3 linked regions of the Oreochromis niloticus genome follow. The protein of the gene in region 2 interacts with the protein of the main gene of each other region in a biochemical or structural test. Links are inferred from orthologs where the notes say so. Each region holds a gene or a part of one and is shown on either strand. Other genes may lie near its edges. The genes, in order: dcun1d4, ube2m and dcun1d5.

The links.
Region 1: the proteins of ube2m (region 2) and dcun1d4 form a complex in vitro, tested with the Homo sapiens proteins (3 studies listed by BioGRID). The link is inferred for Oreochromis niloticus from reciprocal best matches to the Homo sapiens genes UBE2M and DCUN1D4.
Region 3: the proteins of ube2m (region 2) and dcun1d5 form a complex in vitro, tested with the Homo sapiens proteins (3 studies listed by BioGRID). The link is inferred for Oreochromis niloticus from reciprocal best matches to the Homo sapiens genes UBE2M and DCUN1D5.

Annotation. Positions count from the first base shown.
Region 1 is NC_031986.2:37,250,494-37,257,862, forward strand, and holds the start of dcun1d4 (DCN1-like protein 4), read left to right. Parts: upstream 1-4,311; 5' UTR 4,312-4,435; coding exon 4,436-4,454; intron 4,455-4,460; exon of another isoform or gene 4,461-5,438; intron 5,439-5,747; coding exon 5,748-5,818; intron 5,819-5,915; coding exon 5,916-5,955; intron 5,956-6,171; coding exon 6,172-6,259; intron 6,260-6,394; coding exon 6,395-6,483; intron 6,484-6,592; coding exon 6,593-6,663; intron 6,664-6,934; coding exon 6,935-7,026; intron 7,027-7,200; coding exon 7,201-7,309; intron 7,310-7,369. Other genes in the region: ociad2 (OCIA domain-containing protein 2), read right to left, coding at 44-110, 554-701, 778-825, 925-978, 2,137-2,221, 2,316-2,474, 3,530-3,599, 4,137-4,150. UniProt on the Homo sapiens protein: Contributes to the neddylation of all cullins by transferring NEDD8 from N-terminally acetylated NEDD8-conjugating E2s enzyme to different cullin C-terminal domain-RBX complexes which are necessary for the activation of cullin-RING E3 ubiquitin ligases (CRLs).
Region 2 is NC_031969.2:34,663,957-34,671,538, reverse strand, and holds the start of ube2m (NEDD8-conjugating enzyme Ubc12), read left to right. Parts: upstream 1-4,553; 5' UTR 4,554-4,723; coding exon 4,724-4,838; intron 4,839-4,844; exon of another isoform or gene 4,845-5,210; intron 5,211-5,285; exon of another isoform or gene 5,286-6,514; intron 6,515-6,585; coding exon 6,586-6,680; intron 6,681-7,002; coding exon 7,003-7,041; intron 7,042-7,582.
Region 3 is NC_031979.2:35,191,907-35,199,168, reverse strand, and holds the start of dcun1d5 (DCN1-like protein 5), read left to right. Parts: upstream 1-4,163; 5' UTR 4,164-4,315; intron 4,316-7,262. UniProt on the Homo sapiens protein: Contributes to the neddylation of all cullins by transferring NEDD8 from N-terminally acetylated NEDD8-conjugating E2s enzyme to different cullin C-terminal domain-RBX complexes which is necessary for the activation of cullin-RING E3 ubiquitin ligases (CRLs).

The sequences.
Region 1 (7,369 bases), on a different chromosome or scaffold from region 2:
GTGATGCACACTGAATGTTACCGTACATCCGTCCTCACAGTCATTAAGCCTGTTCAGCTGGTGCTGCTGGAGCATTTTTCTTACATTCTTCACACACATGGTGGCAGGGTCTGTGAGGATAATATTTGGGTAAGTGTCATGCTGAGGCGTAAGGTTATTGATCATCCAAAGAGAGGAGAAAAAAATAATAACAATGGCTGATAAAAAAAATAAGTATTTGTAACATTTTTAAATAATTATTTTTATGTCATTTATTAAAGGAGGATCAGCACAATGACACAATTTCCTCTGGAATTAATAAAGTAATCTGATTCCGAATGACTTTTGAATGCTTGCAGTGTAACTCTGGTGGTCAATAAACAAGACAGAGGAGCAATTACTGAGAGAATATAAAAAAATAAAATGAAAGTAAAATGAAATAAAAATAATGGACAATCAAATATACAACGAAAAACCACAAAGTTAGTCTTTTTCCGATTATCAACCCTCCTCTTCCCAGAATCTGTAAATATTACCATAACATTATAATATTACACAAACAGAAATTCAGCACCTGCCCTCCCTGTGTCTGTGACCAGGGTGATCTCTCTTTGACCAGGGTCCAATCCCCGGTCCACCCTGAATGCCAAGCTCCTGGAATTTGCTCTGACAAGTGCCCACATAGGATGCTTTCCCCACTGCAAATCCAAGGATCCCTGCAACTGAAGAAGAAAAATTATTTCATTAATCACTGCTGCCACTTACAAACTGAGATCCAAGATACTGAAAGACACAAACCTGCTAGTTTTGGAAAGGGACCAAATCGCTTTGATGATTTCCAAATACCTATGTGGAGGGAAAAAAGTGATAACTATAGAAACATCTGCTTTACTTTGATCTATATCATGCAATTTAAAGTATGGGGTTTGAATGTTAATGCTTTACCTTGGTAGATGAGGCCACCGGTGACAGCCATGCTGCCCAGAGACAATGGAAGCGCTAAAAACAGAAATCAAGTCAAACAGAAGTTGCTCTGAAGCTGATCAAAGTCACAAACTGCTGGACAGTGTATGGGGAAATATTATAATAGAATCAGAGTAAAGTTATTTTAAAAGGCCAGCATTCAAAACAAATACATAATGCATAAAGATAAGTTTTTCTGTCTGTGATTAAATGCCGATATTTCCCATATGAATTAACTTATTCTAGTGGATTCATTTTGCTGTTTTTGCCTATAGTTCAACCTAAATCAACTTTGGAGTAATGAGACATATACCGGAACTCAACCTCACGTCCATCTAATGGGATGGAAAGGACGGATACAGGAAGAAGTGATTGCTTTCATGTTTACATAACTGCTTGACGAGAGAAGATGAGCAGCAGCTGCGTGGTCAGTGGTGAGAAGACGGGCCAAGATGGAGACTAAAGACAACGATGTGTTGCCACATGAAACACCAATAATCTTCAGTTTGGGAATTCTTAGTCTAAAAAAGCCTGACCACAATATTTTCTTTAGCGCATGCTGCTCACAGTAGCTTATACAACTCTTAAGCTTTTGCTGTGATAATTCTTTTCTGACAGTCGCATAAAAGATGTGTGGGTGTGCATAAATGACTGATATATCTTTAAACCTCTTATGGTTTTTTTTCTTCTACTAGTTTTTCCAGATCAGGTGTTTTTTCCCCTTAGTTTTATCTAGAAGCTCACCTCTGGACACTCCCAGCCAAGCTTCACCCAACCTTAACCTTAAGTAAAAGCTCTGATCAAGCAGGGCAGAGTGGTTATAGTATTTAAATGATTTCTTTAAAAGTAATACAAATTGAGTAGAGATATAAATAATCATGATCAAATAAACACATTGTAATCACGACTGAGAGAATGATGAAAGTATAAAATCTTACTAATGAGTCACTTACCATCTTACTGATCTGCCCCCTTTTTTTAAGACCACACACTGAATTCCGCAGTGAAGAATGTAAACGCTCAACGGTAAGCTTGATTGATGACCCCTATCCCCTACTTCTACTACAAAAACCCTGCTTACACATCAAAGAACATTTCCAAGTTTTGTCTCTCACTGGGAGGCATTTCAACAATTTGTTAATGAAAATTTGTGACACACTTGAGAGCATTTACTGAATGTCTGAAAGAGAGTACCTCTGTACCAGAAGCTCTCCTCTTGGCACTCTTTCCAAACTTTTCTCACATCTTCTCTGTGAACATGGGCATCACTCAATGGGCACTATAAGACACAGAACAGAGGTTAGTTATCATATGTGACATATAGCATTGCATCTGGGCTCAAAATGTCTAGTACAAATTTGTTTGCCACTCACTTTCCACCCTCCTTTAATGGGAGCTGAACCTGAACCAGCAGCTGCCGCTTCCTCGGTCGTCACTTTTTGTCCACTTATTTCAGCACTCATGATCTTAGATCCTTCAGTAGTTTGGAGCTCTACTATGCTGCTTTTGAAGCTACGTACACTTCCTCTTGCCTGTGTCAAATGCAACAAGCTGTAATAGAAGTTCCTGGACTAGACTTTTAACTCCGCCTTCCTAACAGAGCTCTGCCCAGTCAGATTTGATTGAGCATGAGGATGACAAGCCATGAGGCAAAGAAAACCCCTAAAAAACATCGACTCTTAACATATAAAACTATGCAGAAAAAGAATTCACTTCTTTAACATAAAACACCAAAACAGTGTAAAAAAAAATGTGTTCCCATTTGCCACATGAAATAAAAAGACATATGTCCTCACCTAAGGTGTTAAAAACAGGTCAGGTTCACCTCTGTATACCAGTTTACACTTCAGTGTTTGACACACCTTTTTTGCCTACAGCCTCGTGTTTGCTCTTTCATATCACTATTTAGTAGACCCACAAGTGTGGGTAAAGGTAACATATTATCTACATGTGTTTAGGCTAAAGATTCAATATATGCAGTAAAACTTCATAACAAGATCACCTATTCTTGGTTATTTCATTGGACACACACCCCTGTAAGCCAAAGGTCAAGGTTTTCTTTACTACCACTAATAAAAATGCAGATATCAGTGATACAGTTTCTCTAATAATGGTATATATCATCTGTACTTAAATACCTTTCAACAGGTCACAGCTTAAGGAGCAAAGGCTCACTTATCCATGAAGCAAAAACATTTCTTTTACTACTTATTTATTAACGTCACTGCTGAGCATTAATTAAGTAGCTTAAATTTTCTATATCCTAACAACTGCAACTGCACAAATTCTACAAAAAATGCTCTGACTTATAGAAAAAAAAATAGTAGCTGTCCACTAGTACAGAACTAATACATAAAATTATTCAAAATAACGTATGAGTAAAAATAATTCATTTAAAACTGATCCAGGCCAATGCATAAGGCATCATATCTAATATGTGATGCATTTCCTACAAATTTCTAAATGTACTTGCCAAATAAATTTAATTAGGTTGTTGTTTTTTTTTTAAAGGGAGCCTACATTCTCCTCTAAAATGTAGTTTAATAGTATAAAAATGAAAACACACATCAAATTCAAAGTAACCTACCTCGAATCCACTAGTAAATGCCCATATACTGTAAACTGGTGCTGGGACTGTCAATGCATAAAGAGTGTAACTGGAAGGCAAAGGAAATGCATACACGACTGTGCAGTGGACAACTCAGTAGGCCATTTTACCCAATTCCACCAGTACAAAATAATATAAATGTAATCATGGCTTAATTGAGTAGGGTGCTGTGGTTTAAATAACCTGGCGAGCTTCTCTATACTCACACGGGGTATAGTTGCTTCGCTAATCATTTAAACAGAGTCATATGAGTAACACCTTAATGTTACTGATATATAAAAAACAACTTTGGGCCCAACAGTGTTGCTACGTTTGCATTCGTTCGTCTTGTACAAAAACTGAGATTTAGAGTCACATGACAAACAGGGAATACTAAATTTGATAGGGTAAGGTAAATGAAGGTAAGTGTTATTTAGGACAGCATCACTGCAAACATTCCGGAAATTTAAGCGCTGTCGTCCTTACCTTGGTAAAGTCAAAACTCACATTACCAAATACACCGCTACCTACTTCCAACAAACGGCGTTGACTTTAAGCGAACCCAAACCGCGATTACACTGGGAAGTCAATTTAGAAGTAAATCTACCAATCAGATTTCATCGTGGGCTGGTTTCAGGTTTGCACGAGGAAATTCTAGTGATTGACGTGCGAATAGCGCGGCCTGTTTTGAGAACTATGACCAATCACATTTTGTTGAGGAAGGAGCTTGTGTCTTTTCCCTCCCTGTCATGACATGACACCTCGACTAGCCAATTGACAGCGAACAAAGGCGGAGGCGAATGAGGCTGACCTTCAATCCACAGCTGCGGGCGTGGCTTACGTTGACAAGGCCCGCCTATTGGCCGGTCTGCGGACTTCCCACAGACAGTTGTATGTTTCATAAAAATGCACTCTGATGCGGCAAGTAAGTAGTAACGTTAGAGAGGTTTTTCTGGGACCATTTGGGACCCCATAGCGCGTGTGGCACAGACGTTAATAGTCTTGCTCTGTTTTGAACAACAGTTTTGTCTCATGGTCGTGTGGCGTTTGATGAGGACGCGTGAATTCTGTGCTATTTGCAGCCCTCTTTGTATTTGCTAGTGCTGTCTTGTGCGACAACAAAGGGAGGATAGCTGGTGTAATTTTAGCTGTTTGGACATGCGGAAGGTTATATTTGACACTGAAGGTTTTGCGAAGTTAATTTTTCGAGTCGCGTTAGCGGTGCTCGGCTGAATGCGGCTGACGTTAGTTAAATTCAGAAGGTTTTCGATGGTTAAACGGCGTGTTGAGCTGTTTATATTCATCTTTATGGGTCACGTACAGCAGGTATCAGCTCACATTTGGCATCCACGTAGGACCATTGGAAATCGGTCAATATTCTGGTCAGCTGCGGACTCTTACAGGGAATGAAAATTGTGACGCAGTTGTGTAAAACAGCTTTCATTGCCTGCTGCAGCACTGCCGCCGGGTTTTGCGCCATCTACACCAGCTGCTGCAAACGCCTGCGCGTTGCTTTTGTGCAAGAACACATATAATGTTGTATATTTTTCAAACAACGTAAAATGCATTCAATCAGTTGGTGTAAATGTTGGGGGTAGAAGGGTCTGAGAGAAGTAGTTGTTTTGCAAATGCATGGGAATTGTAGTTTAGTATCCCAAACAGAGCTTAGCTTCCAATGGCCTGTTTAGAGGAAATGGACTACAACGCCCATACGTCCAAACTCTCCAGATACTTTGTAAACTCTGTGCAAGTTGCGCGTCTGCACTGCTATTTTAGGTATGCAGCTAGTGCTATCTGCTCGGCAGTGTACTGGTTTGTGTGTGGTTTTGGCCTCTGAAAAAATGTTAAAATCATCGGTGTTTGGTGACAGCTTTTAATCGACAGTGCACAGAAGGCTTGACGCGAGAAGGTAGCATGCATGATCGTTCTCACGTCTTTAGAGGAATGCAGAGTCCCTCCCTCATTCGTGTGAAATATTTTCACCAACGTAGATCTTTGAAAACTGGAAATCAAACGATAGTAGTGCATGCTCTGTGAATGTTGTGTGATTCCTGATCACAGATCACCTGAGATTTGAGTCCAGTGTTCTCATTGGGGCTGTGATGATGTCACCTTCTTGTACCCTTGTGCTCATGCCAAGCATGATCAGGAGCATAAAGCTGAGTGTCATGCTTTAGTTTAGTTCTTTTGTGACGTTATATTTATTTTTTGGAAATAGATTTTCAGCTGAATTCCCACTTGACTACACTGGCCAGCATCCATAAGATCCACCACACCTTGCACAGGCTGGTAAATGCATATTAGCAATGTGTTTATGTGTGCTTTATTTTAGCATGCATGTGCCCTGTACATCTGTGTCCTACTCACACACATTTGTTTTGAATAGAACTTGGCAGAAGACGTTGGACAGGACAGCCATCCCTCAGGTAACTATACAGCTGCTCCTTTTTTATGTTTTGTTTTTTGGTTTTTTTTATAGGGAAATAGTGTTTTTATCAGGCCAGATGTACATTAACATATCACTTTCTGAAGTGGACTCTCAGTGCTTTGCTAGTACTCAAATGTTTTGCTATAGAAAGTTGGCGTAATGCATGTCGTTCTTAAAGATTTATGCTTTCATTTTCTTCTGTTTACTTCCCTAGCTTGTTGCTCTAAAGCCATGCCTCCTAGGAAAAAGAGGAGACCCTCTGCTGGAGATGACATGTCAGCCAAGAAAAGTCGCCAGGACAGGTGCGAGATCCCTTTAATTAAACATTCAGTGAACTTGAATGTGTGCAGTACAATGTTTATTTTGCCATTAGTTAACATACAATAAATGGTGTACTACACATGTAGTATGGTTAAAATTTTGTTTTTCGTCTACAGCGTTTTCAGAAAACATGAAACATCCCAAATCCGAGAGGAGGAGACGTTTTCTAGTAAAAGATGCTTGGAGTGGTTCTATGAATATGCAGGTGAGCACTTACTGGACACATTCTTAGTTTAATTGCATTTGACCTCTTCTCAGTGCATACGTGGGAAATTGTTGCTATATGTGGATTGACATTTGTTTATCATAAACAGGCTGTGATGATGTGGTGGGTCCAGAGGGCATGGAAAAATTCTGTGAGGACATCGGAGTGGAGCCGGAGAATGTAAGCGCATATTTAAAATCTTTCATATTTCGACATCTGTTTATCTCTCTGTGACCACACGTTAAACTAGTGATTTTTGGTTTTTTATGACATGCTTTTGGCAGTGGTGACAATTTGCATTTCTGATCATTTCTGATACTTTGTAAAAGTGTATCTTTTAATCTGCACTCTCAATCAGCAGTCCTAGGCCTTCAAGGTCATGTGATATGTAATGGATTGAGTATCTTGTACTTAAGAATATCTGCAACTGTCATTCGTTGCTTGTGCTCAGGTGGTGATGCTGGTTCTTGCTTGGAAGCTGGATGCCCAGAGTATGGGATATTTCACCCTTCAGGAGTGGCTGAGAGGCATGGGCTCATTGCAGTATGTCATTTACTTACTTTGTTGTTTTTTTTGGGGGGGGGGGGGTTATAAAAATTTTTTTAAAATATAATACAGTTTTCAAGATTGCTTATTTAGATTGATGTGTATTTTTAGTGTAACATGCATTAAACTGGATCCTGTAACATACCTAAGCAAGTTTTCTGCTGCCTTCAGGTGTGATTCGACTGAGAGGCTGAGAAACTCACTCGACTACCTGAGATCTGTCCTAAATGACAGCACCAGCTTTAAGCTCATTTATAGATATGCCTTTGATTTTGCTCGGGTGAGTGGAGCAGTCTTTTTTTTTTTTTTTTCTGCAAGATGCACAGCATTCAACAACCAG
Region 2 (7,582 bases):
TGCCCTGCAGTTTCACCAAACACAAGTCGGCCCTCCAGCTGACTCGAAAAATGGCAGCAGAAGCAGCCAGAAGGGAAGTGGCAGACCTCAACAGCCAATCACAGTCGCTCTGTAAGAAGGCGGCCGTCAGGTTACGGAGCCAATTTAACGCAGTTTAAACCTGATGAACACGCCTCCCTCTCCTCCTCCTGACTGATACTGACTATTGATCAGGTTCAGCTGATCGATAACCAGAAGGAGCCATTGGTTGTTGGTTTTTTTTTCCTTTTCTCACGTGGCACAAAAAACATTTTATAAGAATAAAACCAAAACGCCAACATGCAGCTGACATGCTGTTCGCAGCAGCCTCACGGCGCTGCTCGATTAATTAATCGTCACTTATGTGGTTGATGTTAACAACATTTCACTGTGTGGACAGACGCGATTGATCTCTGTACCTTTATTATTTTTAAAGCAACTGTTAAGCTTTACACTTTGTTACAGTGACATTAATTTGATATTTTATTGTATAAACCCAGTCGCACTAAAAGTGGCTGCAGAGCATTAAAACACATATTTGCTCTAACGGATAATTACTTTCAAAAAGCTTCCTCTGTGTAAACGATGATCAGTTCAGGGTCTGGTGCACGCATTTGTGGAGCAGTGTCAGCTGTGCCGAGGTCACTTCCTGTGGACTGGAGTGTGTGTTACAAATAAGCCGTAAACATCTGGCAGTCTCAGGTTATGTTCTCTTCATCCTTGACTTCAAACTGTTCAGTTCGTTGGTAAAAACAATAAAACTTTCTGGAGTCAGAGTTCAAAGTTCACCGCGGGGAGACCAAGAACACGCTCCTCACAACAACTCTAATCAGACACTAGAATCCCCCTCAAAGCTGATTATGAGCGGCCTCGGTATGAGCAGTGAAAGGACTCGACAAAACCTGTTTTATATAAATCTGCTGCACCTGCTTTCCCATCAGGTAAAGGTGAGTGCACAGCAGCTCACCTGCGGACAGTTTATTTTGTTCCAGTGAGACAAGAACTTCCTGGGGTTTGAGGGGCAGAGTGTAAGGCCATAAAGTGCATCTTTGCAGGTTTACAGTTGCATAAATCCAACAGGGACACAGTGTTATTCCAAAAAAGATGCAAAGTAAAAGAACCAAAAACAGCAAGCAGCCCTCTGCAGAGCAGCCACATGCTTAAAGAGTCAACATTAATATTTAAACCTGTTAGGTGGAACTCGACCTACTGACATCACTAAGAGACCGGGTCTGCTTAATTATCAGGTCCAAATCCAGGTGTTTTTAAATCCAGGTGTTTTGGTTGAACAGGCTGCTGAGCCTGCTCTGAACCTTCACTGTGTGTTTCTTTCACGTTACTTAGAATATTTATTGTATTTTCTGGGTATTCTTGCGGCTGCTGTAGTCTCAGAGTGCCTGTCAGTAATCAAGGGAATACTATTCCTGACATTAAAGCATGAAAACGGAGAGGGTGAAGCAATCCTGCTTCCTGTGTTTAGCTAACATCCCAGGATCGTTTTCACCAGCTTCCTCCTTCCAGGCCAGCACGAGCCCACAGAAACACCTGTATTAGAACATCACCTGAAACGCGATTTTCTAATTAAACATGTGACGGAAACAGAGGCTGGCTGCAGCTAACAGCAATAATAATGAAGATGCGCATCTGGCACCGTTTGGAGATAGCCGCTAACAGCTAGCAGCTATCCCGTCACAGTCACCTACAGCCAGCCTGGGCATACCTGCCCCGACCACACACCTGTACATACCGTCTGCCCCGTTAATTACCTAATATCACACGTAGGAGGGCAGCCCCCCTTCCCTTCCCCTCCCCTCCCCTCCCCAGCCTCTCCTAAAACATTAACGTTAGGCGTGCTAACACGCTAGCACGCTAGCAGCCCGTCCGCCCCCTCCAGCAGCTTCCTCTTTCACGCTGTCCCCGCTCCGCAGCTAGCTGCCGGACAGGTGTAGGTGAACAGACCCGACCCTCACGCACCCTTCCCCGCTCACCTCTCTGAATCAGCTCGCATGCTCCTGGGTCGCTCATTAGAATCGGTATCCGCCAACAATCAGCCCACGTTAGCCCGTGCTGAGCGCAGCTAGCCGTCCGCTTCCTTGTTTCTTCGCCCGCCGCTGCTTCATGCGCGTGCCATCCCGCTGGCTGCCGCTGGCTCCGGTTCTCCGGGCTGGCCTGCCTGAAGGACCGCGGTGGTCTAACTGTGTCGATAGAGAACGGATGGATATCGGTGAGGCGGAGGGCGCAGTCGTGCCCATTCACTCCCCTCTGCGTCCGCCTCTCTCTCTGCACTCGGTCCGCCTCGCTCTCCCCCCCGCAGCGCGTTCCGCGTGCTCCGCGGCTCTTCCTCCCGAGGGGCTCCAAAACACACACAACGGCCCGTTCCCGCCGCAGCGCGGCGCTTTCAACGCGTTCCCGGTGATACTCCTCCGCACGAACTAGGCCCGTTCGCCGCCGTAGGCTGGGAAAGCAGCGCCGCGCGCGGCTATTGTTCTGCGACTCTATTGTGTGGCGCGAGGCTGCGGTGCTGCGCGTGATTCGGTTCAGTGTCGTGAATCGGCCGGTGGCTCGCGGGACGTTTAACCCCGCATTGATGACATCATGCAGGTGACCGCAGAGCCCGCGCGCTGCTTCAGCCTCGGACAGAGACGGAAAATAAAATAAATAAATAAATAAATAAACCGCTAAATAAAATATAGGCACAGACGATATACACGCCCCGCCTCTCCGTGCCACGTCACAGTGCGGAGGGCATTGTGGGACTTGTGGTTGTCCCGCTTTCCCCCAAAAAAGCGTCAAGCTAAAATGTTTTTTAGCACACACAAGACATTTGAAATGTAATAGAATATAGAGATCAGTAGAATCCAGAAGAAAATGAAATTAAAGGTAAAAAAGATTAAAAAATGCAGCAAACACATGCACATACATGTTGGTGCAATAAAAATGAAATCAATCAACAACTAAAACATGCTGGTGAATAATTTTACAGCTCATAAAAACCGAGATTTTTATTTTTATAAAGAAACACAACAGCGCTGATTCTTGTGTTCACCACAGGGTTTATTCACAATACCGGTATGTCTTATAAATATTTTATTCCATAAAACACGTTTCATTTTTCGTTCCAGCTTTACATTAGATTTGATTTACTGTGTCATTTTTTCCCAGTGCATGTCTTCTGTTTTTATTATTTACTGCCATAATTTTACATTTGACTGTGGTCACTGTCTGCTGTATGAACAAAGTCATGTGATGTGTGGAGTACTGTTCTATAAAGAGAATGAAGCCCGTGAGTGACCTTCTTCTGTGGATTCAGACACTCGGTTATAAACATTTCCTCAGAGGGCACAGTGGCTCTGTTGAAAGTGGATCTGTGATCTGAGCTCCAGCTCAAACCTGAAGGTTCACGTCTGTGACGACGAGCTCTGCTGATGGTGTTCTGACTGAGTGACAGCCAGCTGGACGTTTCCTGGCATAAAAACGGGATTTATGCTGATGTTTGCTGAAGCTGACCCAACTGTGTTTATTTGGTCCCGAGTTTGTAGAAGTCTGGGTTGGAAGCATAACTCACAGATGCTGGGACTCCTCGCTGTAATAACTGCAGACTACACTGAATCATCACACTGCTGTTTTTTATTTACAGTGTTTTTAGTCTACCTGCACTTTCTTGGTCACATCCACCTGGATCCAAACTGTCAGCAAAAGGTCAATGTTTTAAATTCCACCTTCCCCTGTGCTGCCATATCAACCCCACCTGTACTTACAGGCAGACAGTTATGGGACTCTGATTTAATACGAGCAGACTGCACGAAAAACTAGTTTTATTTTTGCAAGGCTGAATTTCTGCAGACTGCAGCAAAGGTGAGCACAGCCAGCATGAGCCTCACTGACTCACCTCAGGCTGATTCTCAGTTCAGAGACATGAAGTTGACTTTTAGATGAACGTCCTGCAGAGTCTGTCTCGGCATGCTTGGTTCGGCTCTCCAGCCTCAACATGACACTGATGTACACATGCATGGATCAGCAACCACAAGCCAATAACATAACTTGTGATTCTGCATAACGAGTGCTTTTACTTTGTCTGCTTTCAGGACACGTGCCGTCTCCATTCCTGTCCGCCTTGAACAGCTTCAGCTTCGGGTCACGACCCCTACAGCTTCAGAAGGAAGAGGGTAACTGCATGGAGCACCTGTCCTGAGACAGGAAGCCTACACGTCCACATCTCCACCGGGCTGAACTGGAACAGCAGCACAGAGGCCGGAGGTGCTGAGCACGCTCTCCTCCCTCACTGAGGAGACAGCTGTTCATCACAAACACCTTCAAACTCATGTTCAGGTGCTTTTCATCACTTTTGTTGAACCCAGAGTTTTTAAAGCTGGGTTTACCTGCCTGTGGCCCCCTCACTCTCTCCAGCAGCGCCCAGACCATCTCCCGATTGTTTTCTTCTGGCACCAGTGGACTTTCATGCGCTTCAGAGCAACACACACACACACACACACACACACACACACCCTCTGCTCCCCTCCCCTCCCTCCTCCCCCCCGCTAGCCAGCTCGCTGCTAGCTCCGCTGCTAGCTCCTCCTGCCTCCGTGATCAGACGCACCGGCTCCATTCACATCACGGTGCTGTTGGGAAACCACCCCGCTCTCAGACCCTCTCAGACCCGCTGACGGCTCACAGAAGGGACGCCTCGTGTGTCAAATAACTGAAGATGATTAAGCTCTTTTCCCTGAAGCAGCAGAAGAAAGACGAGGAATCTGCTGGAGGAAACAGAACCGGAGCCGGGGGCAAGAAAGCCAGCGCGGCCCAGCTTCGAATACAGAAAGGTAGGCTCTGTTAGCCGAGAGTTACCCACCGGCCACGGGCCGACACCGAACCCACGGGACCCAGGGCTCTCAAACCCAGACCCGGTGTTGCTGTAGCTCACTCGGGCTAACGGCTGGCCGACTAACTGCGGCTGAAGCTGGTGTTAGCTACGGCTGCTAGCCCGGCTGTGCTACATGAAAACAAAACGCAGGCTAAAGGTGTTAGCACGCAGCTAGCAGCAGCTAGCAGCTAACAACACGAACCCGGAACACATCTGCTAACAGCTAACAGCTAACAGCTAACGCCGGACAGCCGTAAACACTGACGGCTAACGGCAGCTAGCCTCTAACTGCTGTGTCAGTTCCGTGGGGTCCACTTCTACTCAACAGCAGGTGAGGTAGGAACACAGGGACTCACTGGAACACCTGAGCACAGCGCCCACCTTTCTGACCCGCTATCCTCCTCAGGTGCAGGTCAACCCGAAGGGCTGCCGGGCGACAGGTGAACGCAGATCAGAGCCCGGCTTAGACTGCAGGGTTAGAACCAGGCTGAACCTGTGTGGTGGATCACAGTGGACTCTGAGGGTCCTGCCTGCCTGTCAGACGCCTTGTGAGTCACCTTGTGTGGGTGACCAATAGGAAAACAGGCTCAGGTCCCTATTCTCAGAGTCCAGCTCACCTTATCAGGATCTGTCTAAATTATCAGCTCTGTCTGTCTACTTTGCAGCATCTGACCTGGACAGGTCTGAATCCCTTCTCAACTTCTAAGTGATCTGCTGGAATGGGCCCGCTGTTTTCCATGGATCTGATTGGCCGGTTTTCGGTGGTTTCACACCTTTTGGTCTCTTATCTGGAGGATAATCGGAGCAGGAGTGACACAGGCCAAAAGGCTGGGCGTTGATGCCCCAGCCCCCGGACACCAACCACCTACTTCTTCTTCTTCTTGCCTCCACCCACCTGATGAATGATTTATGGGGTCGCAGAGATTTGGGGTCCTCAGGGTATCTGTAGGCCCGTGGTTCTGGGTTCCAACCTGTGTTTAGCATCTCTCTGAGACCTGAGCGACCACCTGGGCCCGCTCTGTCCCACCACACGGGATCAGTGCAGTTCTGAATATGGTCCAGATGTTTTGGTGCCTTAAACAACAAAAAGGGATCCAGTGGTTTCAGAGTCACCCCCTAAACCTGCGAGAACATGTTTTTGTTTTTTACATTTGGAAGTTGTTCTTCCACATTGGCAAAAAAGTTTTGACACATAAAAGTTGATTAGATTTGTTTCATAATGGTCCTTTTATTTCTTTACCTCGTGGGTCTAGGCCGTTATTTCTCATTGATGCTCATCTAAGTTGATTAAGGAGGTTTGTGTTCTTTTCTGGAGGTTATTGAGATTTTGGAGATGATGACATTTTTGAAGTCCTAAAGAACACAATATGTGGAGATTTTTAAGAATATTTAAAGAGGTCCAGAGGTTTTAGAAGTCATTAAATGCCAAGGTGAAATGGAGAAATGCTGAAGGAGGTCTTGGAGAAGGTCCCAGTTCTATCTGAAAGTGTTACAGATGTTGTTCTGGACTTTTAAGTCTTTTGGGACAGTTCAGAGTCTCTTGTGTCAGCACTGCTTTTTCACAGGTCCTAGCATACAGACAAGGTATTTAGAGCTCCAGATGTTTTCGTGAGCCTCTGAAAAGTGAAAGAAGAAGAGATGAAGGAGGTCTTTGATTCCCGAGGACGAATCAGAATCAGTAACACCTGCCTGTGTTTGTTTTTCAGACATCAATGAGTTGAACTTACCAAAGACGTGTGAGATCAATTTCCCCGATGATGACGACCTCCTCAACTTCAGACTCATCATTTCACCAGACGAGGTGTGTGTGTGTGTTTTCATTCAGAGACGTGATTGCATAAAAACTTTATTCCTCTCTGACTTTGAGGACAAACACCTGTGAGAGATGCAGGTATGCATCAGTAACACGAGCAGTGCTGTCTGTAAAAGCAGTGAAACACCTCCACCTGTGAGCGCAGGTCCGGTTTCAGACGCTGCTACACCAGAGCCGATTGTTCCCACTCATGTGGCACACAGGTGTATGAAACCTCAGGATGTACAGAGTGAGGATGAGGGGCTGAATCGGGAGATGAAGATGATGCTGAGCTAACGAGTCTGCCTCTGTTTGTCTTTTTGTGTCTCAGGGTTTTTACAAAGGAGGAAAGTTTGTCTTCAGCTTTAAGGTGAGAAACAGCCGTCTCTCTTTCTGCTCCACCCTCGTCTCCACTTCCCTCTGAGCTCTTTAACCTGAAATAATCCTGAAACAGTCTGACCCTCAGCAGCCTCCACTGGTCTTCCAACAGGTCTCACCTGTGTAAAGTCCGGCCCACAGCGCCCTGAGAACATCAATAAGAGGCTCACTAATGTAGCTCCATTAGTTAATCATCACTTTATTTATAAATTTGGCTTCCAATGATGATAAAATCACTTTTTTCTTCCATTTTCTCCACGAGGCTCTTGTTTTCTCTGGTGTTATAAATCAGGTGCCGCCTTTCACTCAGTGTTTAGATGTCCTCATGGTTGAGCTGTAAGAAGTGAAAGTCCTGAGGTTTCTGCAGGTTAGCCCATAAAGGACTAGCAGGTGGATTCCTCTCTTAATCGCTGACAGACTCGTGTGACGTTCCACGGTCCTGCAGGTCTCCCGAGTCCACCTGGTCTTCCTGCTGGCCTGCCTGCAGACTTCCTGCGGTGGCGGCTGCAGGCCGGTAGGAACGCCGGTGGGGG
Region 3 (7,262 bases), on a different chromosome or scaffold from region 2:
GGAGAGTAGCTTGGGGCTGGTATCCTGCCCAAGGATACTTGGTATCTAGACTGGAGCAGCCAGGGAACCAGCAACTTTACAGTTATAAGATGACCTGCTCTACTTCCTGACATAGAAATCTAAATCTTCTAAATTTAGCTCAGGCATTCATGAATCCAGATGATGTTTGTAATCTTCTCACTTGTTCTGAAATTTATAAGTTTTAACTTATAAGCAGAGGTATCTGGAACAACTTCATACCAAGCAGTCAGATGTATTTGTGGCTTCCAGAGGGTTGGGTTACTGTAACTCTGATGTCCTTTCTATTCAGCCCCTCACAGAAAATTGTACAAATCCTTTTTGGTCTTTGTGGGGTTTTTTGTCCTGTTAATTTTTGACATCAGCTTTATTTGTTAATGTTTGGAAAGTTTGCTGTTATAGTACCAACAACAGAAGAGCTCAGTCTGACTCACTCCTTGCTTACTTGACAACTTTGGGTTTGAATTCAAAGAAAGTTAAGGCATCCTTCCCTGTGTGGCCACACTTTGAGAAATTTAGAATTCGTTTTCTAATCACTTTAATGTTTTTTGTTTAATATGTCACTTATGTAGAAGTGAACACCTCCAGGTTAACTGAATTTCCATCCGCTTCAGCTGTGCTTTGTGTTAAGTGCTAGTTTTCAACTATTACCATGTAAACAGACTGAACTCAGAGGGTAAGCATACCTGTTGCCTGTCAGAATACGGGCTGAAGCCGAGCCTCACACATTTGAATTGTTTATACAGGCTGACAAACTTGAATTTCTTCAGAGGTTTTTCAGTTTCACTGCATCATTTCACAAGCTGTCAGTCTTCAATAAAGGGACCCTTTTATGCTTCTCACTGTATGTCATATATGTGTACTGTTAGAAGCTATTTTACTGGCTAAAATGACAGAGTAGTGTCATTTATGACCCCATTATTTAGCTTAAGGTTACTCTCCTGATCTTTTAGGAGACTATAAACTTTGCATCAGTACCAGATATTACAATAGAAACTCATGAAATGGACAGACTTGTTTTAAATGGCTCTGTCTGTGTTTATCGTACCTATACTGTTTCCTTATCTATGACGTATTCTAAGATATGTCTTAGAACTGAAGAAGCTTCTCTGAGGAGAGGTGGAACATCTTCAAGAAACTTAAAGAAATCCAGTTGCTTTTCTTTTGAAGCTCCTTAGAGTGCCATGACCTGGATGACTGGGAACCTACACAGACATTCTAAAATATTCTTAGTCATTTGTTTATTCATTAGTTTTCGATCATTTTTGTGCAAAAAGGAGTCGGCTGGACTCATTACTACATCAGCTGAGCTGTCAGTTTGGGCATTAAATGTCTGTCTCAGGGCTTCTGCAGCAGTAAATCTTTGCATTATAGCTGTGTTAGCCGTGGTTCACTACAAAACATCACAATGATTCATTCCCACTTTCAAGCACAAACGGGGATTAGAAATGGGAATTTACCCGTAATGTCTAAAAACATTAATATATTTCCTCACAACTTTCCATGATCTTTACCACACACATGGGCAAATTATATTACAGAAAACTATGAAAGGTTTTCAAAGAAGGAAACTGACAAATTGTTGGGGAAACATTTTTAAGATTTAAAAAAAACACAGCAGTAAATATAAGTATTTAGCTGAAGTCATAAATGACTCCACTCAGTCGCTTGAGTATGGCCAGAGTTCCAAATAATGGAAGAGTGTGTCTTCCACACTCTGTCTAAATGAGTGTGTCTAAATGTGCTCAGTTTCACACGTTTTTTCCCTACTTTTGGACCTATGATGTCAGTGAGAACTAATTGGCACAGAAGCCCTGCCTACTTGTTCAAGCGGCCAATCAGAAAAAACTGGATGAAAGCAGATTGTTTCAGAGTATGAATTGAAAGACTGAACGAAAATCCAGCGTTAGCTAAATAAGAATGATTTCGATCTTCGAGTCATGCAAAGCTACTCTATCAGAACCCAATCATCAAAATATGGAAATAAGCATAAGTGGACGCCTTTAAACTTCCGTAACTTCCTAAGCTAAAAATCTGTTCAGACTGTGAAATTTAAATAAAGAGAATCCCATCATTTGCAACAGTTTGTACCTTTATTTAAACAAAAACAATACAAAGACAAAATATCAAAGTGTTTTTAATAAAAACCTTAAATTTTATTTCAGCAACATGTTCCAGAAAAGTCAAACCCAACTGCAGAAACATCCCACAGCTCGTTAAATGTATTAATGACATGATTCCTAAAGAAAATGAGGGTTTAATAAGTAAATATGAGGAAGCCTTCACCACTGTGAAAGGCTGTGTGAGCAGAGTTTCAAAGTTTTTCTCAATGTAAAATTTATTTTTCTAACTAAACACTTACAAGGGTGTCACTTCCTGTGTGATCTCATTTTATGCCCCTCCCCCTTTTTAAAGATATATTTTCTGATTTTTGCATTTTACTCTGGTTTGAAACATTTGGATTAACCACAGCTGACATCAAAAGGCTGTGAGTGATTCTTTTCTTTTTCTTTTGGTTGTCTCATGTGAAAGCCCGGCCTGCACTGCACAGAAGTCAGATTTTACTGTAGCCTTGTGTGATGACAACACTTGAACTAAACACAATCAGCCACAGCCTGAAAACCAGCTGAATGTTTGCTATGACATCAAGGAAGGACTTTAAAAGTGTGTATTGGCAATAAAAGAAAAAAAAATGGATGAGAGTGCTTCTTTGTTTGTTTTTGCTTGTTTTAAATATTTTTTAAAGTTGAATAATTTATTTACTGGCAAAATAAAGACAAATGTTCGACAACAGCATTCAGTTTTCCTCCTACTTCCAGTTGCTGTAAAATGTAACAAGTTGGATGCATTTAAATTTATCAAGAAGATAAATCCCAAGAACTTGATGTAGTTTGCAGACTTATTCTGCAGTTAAATTTACTGAATTTCCCGGAGGAACCCACCCGAGGGATAAATAAAGTTTCATCTAATCTAATCTTACTTCATATTACCTTAATTAAGAAAATGGTAAATACACAAATACAATGTCACTGTGAATGACCTAGATTTTTTTTTTTATTTAAGTTTTTCTTTTAAAGAAATCTATGAGAATTTGTGCTGAATATTTACATTTTAAGAGATGGTGTATGGGCCACAATCATGTGCTGCATACACCGCACAGTTACAGGAACACTGGGTTTATTAATGTTCCAACAGCCCTCAGTATAAACATTAACTCTGAGTTAATAAACACTACACAAGTCTCAGGTCAAATGTTCTTTTGCTTACTAAACCTTTAAAAACAAAGACTAGAGAGCAGCAAAGTGTCATATAATGACACCTGTTATATGCATATGTTTCTACTAAACTATATTTTGCATGTAGATTATACTTTTTATCCATAACATTTATTTTTAAACTTGTTATTTTGCAGATAAATTGTGTTATTAAAGGTCAAGCTCTCACTGCAGGATCATCCCTGGATCATCTGCCTCTATCCCGTCCATCCTGCTCACTCCGAACAAACATCATAACATCCTAAACTTCTCTGTCTTTGGCCTCATGTCCTGTCTCCTGCCACTGTCTCCAAACCATACATCACAGCAGGTTATGGAGGGCTTCTCTTTTACTCTTGCTATCACTACCTTTCTGTCATAAATCACATCACCCCTGACACCCGTCTACACCCAGTGCACCTAGCCAGCACCTCCTCTCCACCTCAATGTTTCGTTTTAGTTAACTAGGATAACCTTGCTTGTCGTTAACTCAGAGTGATGGACGAGTTTTTGAACTATGAACAGCTAAAAATAAATAAAAAGTTCAGAGGAAACTCTATGTTAGAAAAATAGCTGACAGAGATTTTACAGTTTAGCATAAATGTTAAAAATATTTTAAACTTTATTACACCCTGCCTCTCGCCCTATGACAGCTGGGATGAATGGATGGATGGATGCATGGACATGAGTATATGTGAGCATGTGAGCCAAAAATAGGGGGACTATTTCTTTAAGAACTAAAACGATATATTCGGCTCTTCGGGGTGTACATTACAACCATCAGATGTTCTCGTTTGGATAACTGTTGTCTAAGTCCATATATCCCTCTTGTAAATGAGGTTAAATGTCATGTTGTATAAACCTCCATTCTTAAAAAAGAGCGTTCGCTCACATTTCTCTGAAGAGGGGAACGCTTGTTTTGTGTTGCACCCCCATAAAGCGGTGGTATCGTCCACTCTCACGGAAACGCCGGCTCCAGCCAAAACTCCGGCAAAAGAGAAGCAGGTGGAACTGAGACAGTAGTGAGAGTGTGACTGAAAGTGGTAAGTGTTTAAAACAGTGCCCTATCGATTACCAGGTGTTGCCCCAGGCACCTGTCTTATATTTGCTTCTAATTATGATGCGAGTGATTTAAAGACTTTTGACGCGTGTTTGGACACATTAGCAGACGTTAGCAGAGCAGCTCTGAAACCCGCGGTGCGCCACTAATGTTAGCTAGCAAACAAAAGAGGTTCACTGTGAGTCAAGACTGACTCTTGGAAGAAAATGAAGGAGATAAATGTGGATTTTGTAATACGAGTCATGTTTTTGTGACATTTAAGTAGCGATAAAATACGACATCCTGGCACGAAGTCTGCTATTAATCATCCTAGCCTGGGTAGCTAACGTTAGCATCAACGGCAGAGACCCGCAGCCGTTTGGATTTTAGCCCAAAGTTTAAAGTTTAACAGTGTCCAGACCCTTAACAGACTTTTTATTCAATATGTACCTGTGTCTTGTGCTTTAGGTGTGTGTGGTGGAGGAATGGTGACATAATCCTGACGTGTGTGTTTCCCACAGAGCTTTTTAAACTGGTTCTGCAGCAGTGCTGTCGTTACCATGTTTATTTTTAACAGTTCAAACGCTGGAAAAAGTTCGCGTTTAATGTCGCAGACACTGCAGCTGCGCGACAGTTACGTTTGGTGGTTTTTGTTGAAATGCAAACGCGACAGCGCCTGTTTTCTTCCGAGCAGTGTCCTCGTTCTTCTGGTGAGCTTTTATATCAAGTCTGAACACGAAAACGGAAATTTAGTGTGATGAGGCAGTCCCTGTTTGCTCCTTCCTTTTAACCAGCTATGCAGGCCGAACCGAACAAAAACAGTGTTTACGAACTGGGCCATTTCAATCTCCAACAATGGCGTCACCATTCATTTTAACAGTACTCAAGTGAATTTTGTGCATTTATGAATCGTACTTGTGACAGTTGCTGCGATGCCACACTCTGCCTCTCCACACATCATCTCCAGGAATCACTTGAATGATCCTAATGGCGAGTAAAGTCACAGAATTCATTGTTGTGTATGTGTCTGGGATATGTCTGCATATGATCATAACTTCCACTGGGTCCTATACTTAAAGGCTGTGGTTCCCCAGTGCTGCCCTGAGGCAAGTCAAGGTGTCCCCTGAGATTTTTGAATCAACGAAACATTGTAACGGCACAAAGTACTAAATGTCATTTCAGTTGACCTCATTGGCCTGATTGATAGTGAGGAGATATAATTGAGCAGCTGGACTTGTGATGTCAGCAGCCTTCAGCCTGAGTTAATCTGTTAATGCTAATATAGTGAGCTAAAGAGGGCCTTGGAAACTAAACATCCTTTTATAGAGAGACTTCACCTGCTTTAAAAGGGTAAAAGAGAGCTGTGTCTGAACCAGAGGCAGCAGGAATCTACACTACATAAACAAAAGTTCTAGGCTGCCCACATATTACACCCACAGGAGCTGCTCTGCCGTAGAAACCCATGCCATGAAGCTCCCAGTGCACAGTTTACATGCTGATCTTAATGTCAGAGGAGGTTTTCAGGTCTGCAGTTACTGAGTCAGCAGAACATATGTGCTTTACATCTCAGCACGCAGCGATCACACTCTGTAACTTTACATGATCTGCCACTTCGTGGATGAGTTATTGATTCCTGAACACGTCCACTTTACAATAATACAGCTGACTGCGGAATATCTAAAAGGGAAGAAATTTCACCCGCTGACCTGTTGCAATAGTGGCATCCTGTTTCAGTAATACACTCAATTTCTTTTAATTCTTTAGAACGACCCATTCTTTCACAAGTCATTCTAAAGGCTGACTGCATGGCTGGGTGCTTGATTTTATACACCTGTGGCTATGGAACTAAAAACACCTGAATTCAAAGACTAAGAGGTGTGGCCCCATATTTTTGACCATATGTATGTGTTTTTGTGTGATAAGAGGATGGATGCAAGTCATAATTTGGTGGTGTTCATTGTATTTCTTAAAATCAGCTAACATTGCAATCAAAAGAAGGGATGATATTTGAAAAGAGAGAGTATGACATGACATTCTGCACATATGAAGACAGCCGAGTCTTAATTTTTGGTTTGCTGTTTGTTTTGCTTTGGGACAAAGGCTTAAAAATCACAGCTCTAAAGGCAGAAATCGGTTCTTTCCTTGAGTTTCTCAACATTCAGTTGACTGTAAGCCCAGCAGTGTAACTGCAATGAAACTTCAATTAACAACGACGCACAGATATGATCAGAATGCCTTGGCTTTGGAAATCTGCTGATACAAAGTACTCCCTTGATGCCAGTGTTAAATAAATTTTCTTCAATCTTCATTTAAATCTTGAAGTAGTGCTTTTTTTGGTTTGTTTGTTTTTCAAAAACAACTTTGTCTAGTGTTGTTATTTTTGATAATTTCATAAATATCTTGAAAATGACTCAAATTCGTATTAGCAGAATGAGAGAACACCACACAAATCCAAATATTTTAGAGACTTCAAGCATTTATCATTCTGAATTAACCTGAGCTGCACTCCTGATACTTCACATTCATAAGATAAGATGAGATGACCTTTATTAGTCCCACAGGTGGGAAATGTGTTTTGTTACAGCAAAAGTGCAAAGTTATGTAGCAGAAATTAGAAAACACTGGAATGCAATAAAATAGAATAATATATACAACATATATACATAGTCACAGTATCAGATATTTACCCTAAAACACAGGGGGTTTTAGAACAGGTTTTTTTGATAATGGAATTTTAAAATGTTAGAAAATCGTGTAAAAGCAGCCTTAGCTTCACTTAACAAACTGAAATGGTATGATGTGTTTGTCTTGGACCGTGACTTCATCGAAAAGAGTAACGACAGCACTAAACTGTTATTTTTGCCTTTTCTAACTAGAAATTATTATTCTGACCGTCTTTTCCTGGTTTACAGAAACTATAAAAACATTTTGGATCTAATCTGAGGTCTTTG